3 linked regions of the Sus scrofa genome follow. The protein of the gene in region 3 purifies or fractionates together with the protein of the main gene of each other region. This does not show direct contact. Links are inferred from orthologs where the notes say so. Each region holds a gene or a part of one and is shown on either strand. Other genes may lie near its edges. The genes, in order: SERBP1, RRP1B and RPL4.

The links.
Region 1: the proteins of RPL4 (region 3) and SERBP1 purify together in Homo sapiens (affinity purification with mass spectrometry; 3 studies listed by BioGRID and IntAct, with this or other methods). This does not show direct contact. The link is inferred for Sus scrofa from reciprocal best matches to the Homo sapiens genes RPL4 and SERBP1.
Region 2: the proteins of RPL4 (region 3) and RRP1B purify together in Homo sapiens (affinity purification with mass spectrometry; 3 studies listed by BioGRID and IntAct, with this or other methods). This does not show direct contact. The link is inferred for Sus scrofa from reciprocal best matches to the Homo sapiens genes RPL4 and RRP1B.

Annotation. Positions count from the first base shown.
Region 1 is NC_010448.4:145,189,578-145,193,229, reverse strand, and holds part of SERBP1 (plasminogen activator inhibitor 1 RNA-binding protein), read right to left. Parts: intron 2,607-3,652; coding exon 2,456-2,606; intron 1,853-2,455; coding exon 1,712-1,852; intron 1,600-1,711; coding exon 1,510-1,599; intron 916-1,509; coding exon 796-915; intron 1-795. UniProt on the Homo sapiens protein: Ribosome-binding protein that promotes ribosome hibernation, a process during which ribosomes are stabilized in an inactive state and preserved from proteasomal degradation.
Region 2 is NC_010455.5:206,628,060-206,631,811, reverse strand, and holds the start of RRP1B (ribosomal RNA processing protein 1 homolog B), read right to left. Parts: upstream 2,637-3,752; 5' UTR 2,564-2,636; coding exon 2,434-2,563; intron 1-2,433. UniProt on the Homo sapiens protein: Positively regulates DNA damage-induced apoptosis by acting as a transcriptional coactivator of proapoptotic target genes of the transcriptional activator E2F1.
Region 3 is NC_010443.5:164,475,643-164,478,791, reverse strand, and holds the end of RPL4 (60S ribosomal protein L4), read left to right. Parts: intron 1-64; coding exon 65-203; intron 204-602; coding exon 603-727; intron 728-995; coding exon 996-1,125; intron 1,126-1,369; coding exon 1,370-1,526; intron 1,527-1,798; coding exon 1,799-1,882; intron 1,883-1,980; coding exon 1,981-2,101; intron 2,102-2,188; coding exon 2,189-2,434; 3' UTR 2,435-2,523; downstream 2,524-3,149.

The sequences.
Region 1 (3,652 bases), on a different chromosome or scaffold from region 3:
TGCTGCAGCTGCTATGGCTCAGATTGAACCACTGGCCTGGGAACGTCCATATGTGGTGGGTGCGGCCATTAAAAAAAATAAGAATAATAAAGAACGCTAGTGAACTGATAACATATTCTTCTGGCCCCTGCTCTCCTCGAACATGTTAAAACAAGCCAATATTATGTTCCAAAATCTATGTTGATGGGAAAAAAACCCTCAAAGAGATGGAGGAGCTAATTTTACAATGATCACATCTTCTAGTAATAAACTGTCTCAGAATAAAATCTGTATAGTTACAGAGTCCAAAGTACTTTAAACTAAGTACTTCCAAATACTTTAAGTTCTCATATATTTCAACCACTTGGTCTAATTGTTAGAAACCCCCATTTCAGCTTCTAGTTCCCCCTATTCAATGCCTCTGAACAGCTGGCACTAGAAATTATCCATTATAACTTCTCTATCAAGTATGTAAAATGCATGACATAGTATTTCTATTTTCCATTCTCCAGTTAAAACAGCTAATTTCTGTGCTTAGGGCTAACAGATTTTACTAAAATACCTATTTTCCTTATCTGTTTAAGATGGCAATGGTAATTTCAAATAGAAATAACCACTTCTATTTGTCAAACGATTAGAGCCCAACACATTCATGGGTAAAGCATTCCTCTAACCACTATTTGAGAGAATGGAGTACAATTAAGTCTCTCCTGTTAAGACGCAATAAATAATAGGATTAAGCCTAAAGGTTGTTTTCTTAGTAAAGCCCAATATTTCAATGCTGGAACATTACCACTACACACAAAAATCACTTACTTATTTTCTGTGTCCGCAACGGGATGTTCTTCACCTTCAGGTGTTTCCTCAGTCACATTTGATTGCTCCAAGTCACTGCAATTATAAGATATTTGTTTCTGAATGTATTTTGGGGACTCTCTAGGGAAAGAAAGAAAAGAAAAAGGCAACTAGGTCCATTTACATGTAGCCGAAAGGTTCTTTATACAGAATATTTTTAAAATCTCACATTCCCAAAGCTTTTTCTTAAAAAATTTACTCCCCAGTAGACCACTAAGAAAAAAATACTAAAATGTGTACTGATCCAAGTTTATAGTTCAAGTACTTTACTCAAAAATTAGTGCAAGAGAGCAATTAGTTCTAAAATAAGGCCTCACTGGCTTATCAAATTCATAATGACCAAGAAGATTAACAGCTAGAATAAGAATTATTAAATAAGAAACACACAACATCAAAATACCCAATAACGTCAATATAGGATTTAAATAAAAGCTATATATCCATACAAAAAATTAATATCACATATTTTTGAAACACAGAAGAATGGTCATTGAATACATTATAACCCAAACATATCCACCAAGGCATTCATTATCTTGTAAGGAAGTAGCTCTGAGATAAGAACACCCATTCCTTCCCAAGGACAAGTGAAAATTTAGTAGAATTATGGGCAAATCTCTAACAGGGTATAAGACCAATTTTACTTAAATTATTAAAAAAAAAAAAAATACCAACGTTAATTCATCTTTGACAGTTCCCCAGTTGTGAGATCCGCTACCTCCACGTTTGTCCTCATGCTTCAGGCCACTGTAATGTGAAAAAGAACTAACAAAACTGAGTTAACATAATACTCTTTAGTTCTAGAAATTCAAATTTTGTTTTATTAAAGAAGTATACTCAAATATAAAAATATAATAAAAACCAATAAAAGACTTACGATCTATCACTTCCACTATGCCTATCAAATTCACGTTTGCCACGAGAATCAAAACCATCTCCCCGGCCCATTCCACGTCCACGGCCTCCTCGACCTCTTCCAAGACCACCACGGCCTCGGATAGGCCGGTCAATAATCGGTCTACAACAAATAAAAAATATAACATAATACTTTTCCAGGTTTTGGAAAAAAGATTAAGGAAAATTCAAAGGCTCAAAAAGGCAAGAATATATTTACTGGCTCATATCCAACTGTTGAACACATGTTTTAGAAAGTTCAAAACAGTCTATTCTAAATACATAAAGGAAATCAATCAGAACTAGGAAACTCCCCAAAGTAAAAAAAAAAAAAAAAAAAAAAAATTATTTTGACATCCTCTTAGACTTTACTACTAAAGAATATATTTTTCTTTGTTACTCATTATGCTCTAGTAAAACTGCTATTCATCATATACTTAAACACTTCTAACCTGTATAAAACAAATAATCTATTCTGGTATAAACAATTACCCAAAAGGACTTTCCTTTTAACTCAACATCTGGGGATAGCAAGGAAAAGAAATTGTCCATCAATTCAACTGAAGTGTCCTCATTACAAGAAATCTAAGTGTGAATACTAAAAACTGTTACTGATAAAATTAACCAGCCACACTGTTTCCTGGCAACTATGCTCAATTTATAGTTTTGTGTTAAGATGTGACTCTATAAACTGACAAAACATAAAGAGATTAAAAAACAATCTTGCCTATCAACTGAAAATTCTCCTCCTTCACCCTTTTCTTCAAGTGGCTTTTCAAATCGTCTTTCACGAGGTGGTCGCCTTTCTGGTCTCCTATCAATTATCTTCCCTTCACCCTGAAGTTGTTGATCAGGTCTTCTTCCAACACGTCTTATTCCTAAATTAAAAAAAAAAAAAAAAAAAAAACACACACAAAAATCCATATAAGCAAATTATTTTTGCAGCACAAAAAATTTAGACCTAGACTGCTAAAAGAAAAATTGCTACTCCAATTACCAACTGCTACTCCAAGTCCAGTGCTAGTCTAGCTAGAACTTCCTGTTGAAAAAGACTGAAAGTGGGCATCTGAGGTGTAACAAAGTACTTTAGAAAAATTCCTAAAGACAATATACTTGTTTTAAACTTCCATTTAGTTTGCCAAATCATTTTCTCCTAAACTATTCTCTGTAACTGCCTTGGAAATTATCTGAACAGCCATTACTTCCCTTGCTTTTCAAGATACTAGTCTCAATTTAAAATTCTAAACTTATTTAAGGCGAGTGACACATTTTGGTTTTAAAGATATCAAATAGCCATTCATAAATAATCAAGCAAATTAATGCCATCACCAGATAAAGACATCCCCCTCACCCCCACCACAGTTAAAGCCATATTATTTTCTATAACCTGGGGGGGGGGGGAACAGCTGAATAAAAAGACTGATAATTCTATGAAATTATAAAACTGAAAGGAAAACAAATGACAACAGTTATTTTATTATTATGGGGAGGTTTTTTTAGTTTGCCTTTACAAGTATCTTTGTATCTAAAGAATCTTTAAAAACCACACACGCGGAGCCGTTTTAAGCAATAGTTAAGAAACAACAGAAACTAAATGATGAATTCCCCTTATTTTTTTCCCATTAGTGTCAGAGGCCAAGAAGGCAACCAATATGCACTACTGGTGGCCTCAAGGATAAGAAGTAGATTGATGGTTAAATTCATGACGGTAAAATTTTAGGAATGCTCTAATTCCCAAACCACGGATTTCTGACAAAATCAAAAAGCACCTCAGGAATTGGCTTCATAACAAGAAATTAAACTGGCTCATTCTCCTTCTTGCTAAGAAAGTGTAACACCATCAGGATGCACCCAATTGCCCGGCTGCTTGTAAAGAGTAAAATGGTAGAGGTCAAACTCTTCAATGAAATTTTAAGGTCCATTC
Region 2 (3,752 bases), on a different chromosome or scaffold from region 3:
TCCGCTGAGCCATGACAGGAACTCCAATTTGTTTCTAAAAATCAAAGCTATCTATGTTGCTAAAAGACAGTAAGACTGCCATTTCGCACTGCCTTTACTGTGCCTAAAACAAAATACAAAAACTTAAGCCTGTTAGTGAGACTCAGAGGTCAGGCCAAGTTACCTCCACACCTGTTTCTACTCTGATGGAGCACAGCTGTGGCACGGATCTTGTTTATTTCGTCCCGTCATCACCGTCAACGAAACCTTATTTAGTTTTGGTTGTGCCCGCGGCACTTGGAGGTTCACTGGCCAGGGCCCGAACCCAACCGCAGCTGTGGCGAGAGCCACAGCAGCGACAACGCTGGATCCTTAACCCGCTGAGCTGCGAGGGAGCTCCTACGACATGCACTTTGCGTTTACCTTCCTCGAGGCCCACTCGGCTCCCCAGACTGCGGATGTGGTGTCTAACAGGAAGCAGCTTGAGGTGTGATGGGCGCTCGCCAGGCAGGACCCTGGGCACCGCTGCATGCCCTGGCCTCCTGCCCCCGCAGCACCTCAGCACTTCAGAGCCAGAGCCTGTTCCCCACAGAGCTTTGAGCACCGGGTCCTGTCCGGCTGCCTCAGCCCTGTGCTTCTGCATCTGGTTCCTGTTCTTGTGCCCTGGCAGCCCTGGGACCTCGGGATGTGCTCCCGCTTCCAGCTAAGGAAGCAGACAGAGGCTTACGGCATTTTGGGGGAAGAACGACACATCAGCAGATAAGCTAAGTGCCACAATGGGGACATATCAGACACTTCAGACTTGTAGAGAAGTGGGGGGAGAGGACAGGGAAGGCATTTCAGAAAAGCGATACTGGACTGACTGCTGTGAGTGGATCAAGTGGGCGGGGGAGCTTTTCAGAGTGAACAGAGGCGAAAGTGGGAGAGTGTGGAGGAATGGTGTACGGTAGCCCAGGACCCAGTGTGAAGCAGCCGCACAGGGGCTGAGGTGGGGGACAGAGGAGGACATGTCACCACCAGCAAGGCCAGAACTTCAGGAAGGTGGTGATACAGTTGTTTCAGGAAGATGCGCCAGGCTGTTTCATGGAGCGTGGGTTTAAGGGGGCACACATGCAGGTGTTAGATCAGTTAGGAGGTAAGCGTGTCAAAGCCTCGATGAGATGGAGGAGCCTTCAGTAAGGGCAGAGAAATTTAGGAGATGCGACCAAAGGACACTAGATGCAGGGCTGGGGGACAAAAAGAGGAAGAGGCGTCCAGGACCATATACCCTGCGTCCAACTGGAGTCTGAGTGGAGGATGGGAACTAGTGCCCAAAATAAAAGAGCAGAAGAAGATGAGCCTCTGTGGGGCATTCTGAAGCCTGAGGACATCCAGGTGGAGGTGCCAGGTGGGAAGGGCATATCTGAGCTGCAAGCAGCAAAGGTCTGGGTTAGAAAGTTCGGTTTAGGAACACACAACATTTATGGAATAAGAGGAAATCAAGTCTGTCAGGAAGACCCTAACAGATTTGAAGTCAGGAAGTCTGGCTTCGTTCCTCTTCCTAGGACTTCCCAGGAGAGTTTATCTTCTTTTTCCCAGAAGCCTTCAAAAGAAGGCTAACTGAGCGATCAGCACAGGGGGAGACATCCATTCTTTAAAACAGACTCAATGTATTAACACTAGCAGCAAATCGGACTTTTCCTCAGTGCAATAAAAAACTTCACCGCACTGTAATCCATGCCTTCAAAGGTTTACACCGGACCGGGTAAATACGATTCCTCAATGGCACCCCGCTGCAGTTAAAACCCAAACTGAAGAGCCCGCTGTGACCTGGCCACTGCCTACTTTCCCAACTCGCGTCCTAACACCCTCCCTCTCTCTCACTTACCGCTCTTCCAGCTCCTCATTCGTGCCCCGGCTCAGATCTGGAGAACATCACCCCGAGAGGCCTCCCTGCAACAGTCTTTGGAGAGGAGCTTCCCCGTTCCTCGGTTTTCATTTCCTTTACTCCACTTACACGAGTTCCGTTTCAGTTATCTATTCCCCCCCCCCCCCGCCAGATTTCCCGGGATAAATTCCTCGGGGGTAGGGATTCGGACTTCTCCGTCCTGGTCAACTGAAGGCGTGACTCAAGGAAGAGCGCACCAGAATCAAACAGGTGAGTGCACTGATCCCACGTGCAAGCTCTGGGAGGGCAGACTGGGACGGTTCTCGGCTTTCCGGCTCACCGGGACCCTCAGCGGACCACCTAACCCCCTCCGCCGCCGCCGCTCAACCGGAGAACCGGTGGAGACCCCGCAGGAAGTGGACACAGAGAAGCACACGGCTGTGCCGCACGCTCTCCCCGCTCCGCCCGCGGCTCCCCGGGCCCGCCCCCCACTCCCGCCAGGACCCCCCCCCCACCGCGGCTCCCTCCCCTCACCCCCGCTCCCCCACCCCGGCCGCCATGTGCGCGGCGGACCGCAGGGAGCCCACCTGTCTCCCTCTGTGTCTTCACGCTGATGTACTGGCGCAGCTTCTTCACCGCCCGGTCTCGGATGCCCTTCTCGTGGGACGCCAGCCGTTGAGCGAACTGGATCTCGGCCGGCTGCATGGCGGGGGCCATCGCGCCCGTTGGAGCATCCCCGGCCGCAGCCCGCCGCCGCCGAGCGCCCGCCGCCGTGCCGCGACTGCGCAGAAGGCGCCGGCGCGCGGGCTGATGACGTCACAAAGGCGCCGCTCGCCGCTCGCAGAGCGTTCCGCGAGCTGCGGGCCGGGCCCCGGCGGAGCGACGCTCCTCCGGTGCGCGTCGCGCCTCTCCGCCGCCGCCGCTGCCTCTCGGTCGCCAAGGCTCGGGCCGTTGAGGGCGAGGTTAGCCAGCGCTGGGTGTAGGCCGGGAAGAGACGGAGGGCCAGTTTTGCGTGGTCTGGAATCTTGCCCACTTCACAAAATCTCCATCCAACCGACCCGCAGCTGTTCCCGGGAGATACACGGCACCGGGTTTTTACGTTGGCCTCCTCGGGCCGCGGTGGGAACGGGGTTCTGGCGGGAGGTTGCGGGCAGCCCGCTGGAGGGGCGCCCGGAGCCGGGGCGAGGACTGGGTGCGTGTGCTGGTGCGTGCACCCGCGGGCCTGGAGAGCGCGTACTCCGGGCACTCGGACAGTGTCGGCTTGTGTCCGGCTTTGGACAGAAGTCCTAGTTGTGCGATAATCGGTACCTTTTTTTTTCTTTGGTGTTTTTGTATTTTTCCAGGGTCGCACCCACGGCATATGGAGGTTCGCCGGCTAGGGGTTTAATGGGAGCTATGGCCGCCGGCCTACACCACAGTCATGGCAACTCGGGGTCGAGCTGCGTCTTGGACCCACACCACAGCTCACGGCCACGCCAGATCCTTAACCCACTGGGCGAGGCCAGGGATCGAACCTGCAACCTCATGGTTCCTAGTCAGATTCGTTAACCACCGAGCCACCACGGGAACTCCCGTAACCGGTACCTTTGAACCCAGAGCTTGCACCATATGTTACGAACTCAGTGGGCATATGGGGGCTAGTGAATGGACCAAACGATGTCTCCCAGTCCATGGGGTCGTCTCAGTTCCTTAACCTGCTGGCCGGACTGAGGCTCCCTTATCTGGGGCAGACACCGCCGCCGCCGCCGGCGGAGCCTGTTGTCAGAAAGCTTCGACCTTCGCGAATGGAGTTTGGAGCTGAGCGCGCGAGAGGGGCCGCCGGCGGCTGCTTCGCGTGAACGCATGGCCCCTTAGTCTAAATAACACCCCTCGCCAAACATCAAGGACCCGAATCGAGTGATTTCAC
Region 3 (3,149 bases):
GCAAGGCATAACCTGTTCTTAATTGCTAAAATTTGAGAAATGTAATTCTTAACTGGGAACATAGATGTGTCGTGGGGGCCGCATGTTTGCGCCAACCAAGACCTGGCGACGTTGGCATCGCAGAGTGAACACAACACAGAAGCGATATGCCATCTGCTCTGCACTGGCTGCCTCAGCCTTACCAGCGCTGGTCATGTCTAAAGGTTTGTGATATTTTATTTTCTATGAGTTGTATGAAATGCTCCTTTTTTCCTTCACCTGAAAGTTTTCATTGGTGTTGATACCTTGTATAAATTCTCTTCATCTTAGAGGGCCTGGCTAAATTTCCCTCTGCTAAATACTAGTTATGACCACTTCAGTCTAAAAACTCAGTCATTAATGAATACTTTGTACCTAGGGGAGTAATTCAAATACAGTGATTTGGTATATTGATACAACTGTCAAAATGATGAGATTCCACTTCATTGGTCCGTGTTTCTGAAAAACATGATATTTGTGAGAATTCTGATTTGGCAGATTGTATACCATTTTGATTTTGTGAGTTTGATGCAACTTATCAAAGGAATTGGGGTAACCACGTCTGCGTTAATTGGCTTTGTCAGGTCATCGGATTGAGGAAGTTCCTGAACTTCCTTTGGTGGTTGAAGATAAAGTTGAAAGCTACAAAAAAACCAAGGAGGCTGTTCTGCTTCTGAAGAAGCTTAAGGCCTGGAATGATATCAAGAAGGTAGGTTTTATAGTCCTTCACACAAATTTGTCAGATTTTAAATTTCAAAAGATTATTGGAGGGACAGTATAACTAAACCTTAGTGGATATGAGAGTGTAGAATCCTGAAACATCTGAATTTGAATCCTGAGTGCCGTTTGTTGCTATGTGTTAATGTTAGGCAAGCTATTCATGCCTTAAATTTCATCAACTGTAAAATGGAGTTTTTTAAATTATGAAGATCTGTTGCAAGGATCATATCTCAATATACCACACCCCACTTTGTTAGGTTTATGCCTCTCAGCGAATGAGAGCTGGTAAAGGCAAAATGAGAAACCGTCGCCGAATCCAGCGCAGGGGACCCTGCATCATCTATAATGAGGACAATGGTATCATCAAAGCCTTCAGAAACATCCCTGGTAAATCTTGTACTATTTATGTTTTAATTAGCCATACTATTCAAGCTTTTATTATGATGAGATTCCACTTTATGGTCCGTGTTTCTGAAACACATGATTTTGTGGAACTTCTGAATCTTGGCTGAATGAGTTTACCATTTATGGTTGAAATTCATAATTAAAATACTTCTCAGGTGCTATAAAGATGATTTGGGGGGGGGCTTCTGTTGTAATACAGGCTCCCTCATTCTTTTTTTCTTTAAAGGAATTACTCTGCTTAACGTAAGCAAACTGAACATTTTGAAACTTGCTCCTGGTGGGCATGTGGGACGTTTCTGCATTTGGACTGAAAGTGCTTTCCGCAAGTTAGATGAGCTCTATGGCACTTGGCGTAAAGCTGCTACCCTCAAGAGTAACTACAAGTGAGTATAATTTGTATACATAACACAAATGTTTATGCTGTGGATGTTGTTGAAGTTGGGTTGCATGTTTTCTGAATATGGGTTGTTGCCTTAATTCCCCTTGTGTAAAGATGCAATGTACTGAAATGGTGAAATAGTCTGAGAAATTGTAGTATAGTGGAAATTCTGATTGGATTCTGAGGAGCTTAAATGGTTAAAAGTCTTTTGTTGAGGGTCTCTAACCTGAGAAATCTGAATTGAGACTATTGTAAACATTTTCTCTTTTCTTTCAGCCTTCCCATGCATAAGATGCTCAATACAGACCTTAGCAGAATCTTGAAAAGCCCAGAGATCCAAAGAGCCCTCCGCGCACCACGGTAAAGTTGTGATACACACACTAATTCCTGCCCTATTTATTGGTTATTTAATAAACGTAGATAATGTAAATATTAACATAGTACCTACCGTTTTATAGCAAGAAGATTCATCGTAGAGTTCTGAAGAAGAATCCACTGAAAAACCTGAGAATCATGTTGAAGCTAAACCCGTATGCAAAGACAATGCGCCGAAACACCATTCTTCGCCAGGCCAGGAATGTAAGCGATAATTTTGAGTTTTCTTGATATGTTAAGTTGTGAAAATTGGAAGATGTGATTCTTAGATTTTCTCCTAATTTGTTGCAGCACAAAATCCGGATGGATAAGGCGGCAGCAGCACTGAAAGCCAAATCAGGTGAGAAGGGGGTTCCAGACAAGAAGCCCGTGGTAGAGAAGAAAGGAAAGAAGGCTATTGGCAAGAAGGCTGTTGGCGTTAAAAAGCAGAAGAAGCCTTTGGTGGGGAAAAAGGCTGTAGTGACCAAGAAACCAGCAGCTGAAAAGAAGCCTGCAGAAAAGAAGCCCACCACAGAAGAAAAGAAGGCTGTTGCATAAACTTAAATTTGTTTAGTCCATAAAAGTCAAATCACTTGGACAGCTAATTTTGAATAAAGACCTGATCAAAGCAGCAGTGTGAAACATGACTTACCTGTGTTGTGTGAATCTTGGTTAGAATTTTTTTACTGACACTTTTTTCCTCCATAATTCAAGCCATTTTGTCTGGTGTAAAACGGAGCCCTGGATTTCTGAGTCCTTGAAGTTGAATGAGAAGAAGCATGCTCCATATATCCAAATAAAAATTAATTTTGTGAGAAATCTCAGATTAGACAAACGATTAGGTTTCTGGAAAATGGATAAAGTTCCAGAAAGGATTGACATTTTTTGTAACCACAAGAGGGCAAAATCAGAATACTTTTTTTTCTTGTTCTTAAGTATAGCAATAGTGTGATAGGATACAATTGACAAAGGAAAGCCTGCCACCCTCTTTAATATTTGAAACATTGGTATGAAAAGTGCTGGGAACATTTACTCTTTACAGGGGGGTGAGTATGTTGACCAAACATGCTTTTGCAAAGAATGGCCCCTAACATTTTTCCAAAGCTGTTTATGCATTACCAACTTAGAACTAACCTGTCCTTCCCTGTTTAAATATGGTAGTGTCTTGTTTTGCATCTGGTTTTGTTCCTTCTGACATTTCTCAAGATTCATAGCTTGAGGTATCCTCCCATTTGCAGCTAAGAGATGTCAGCTCCATAATAAAAATATCCAG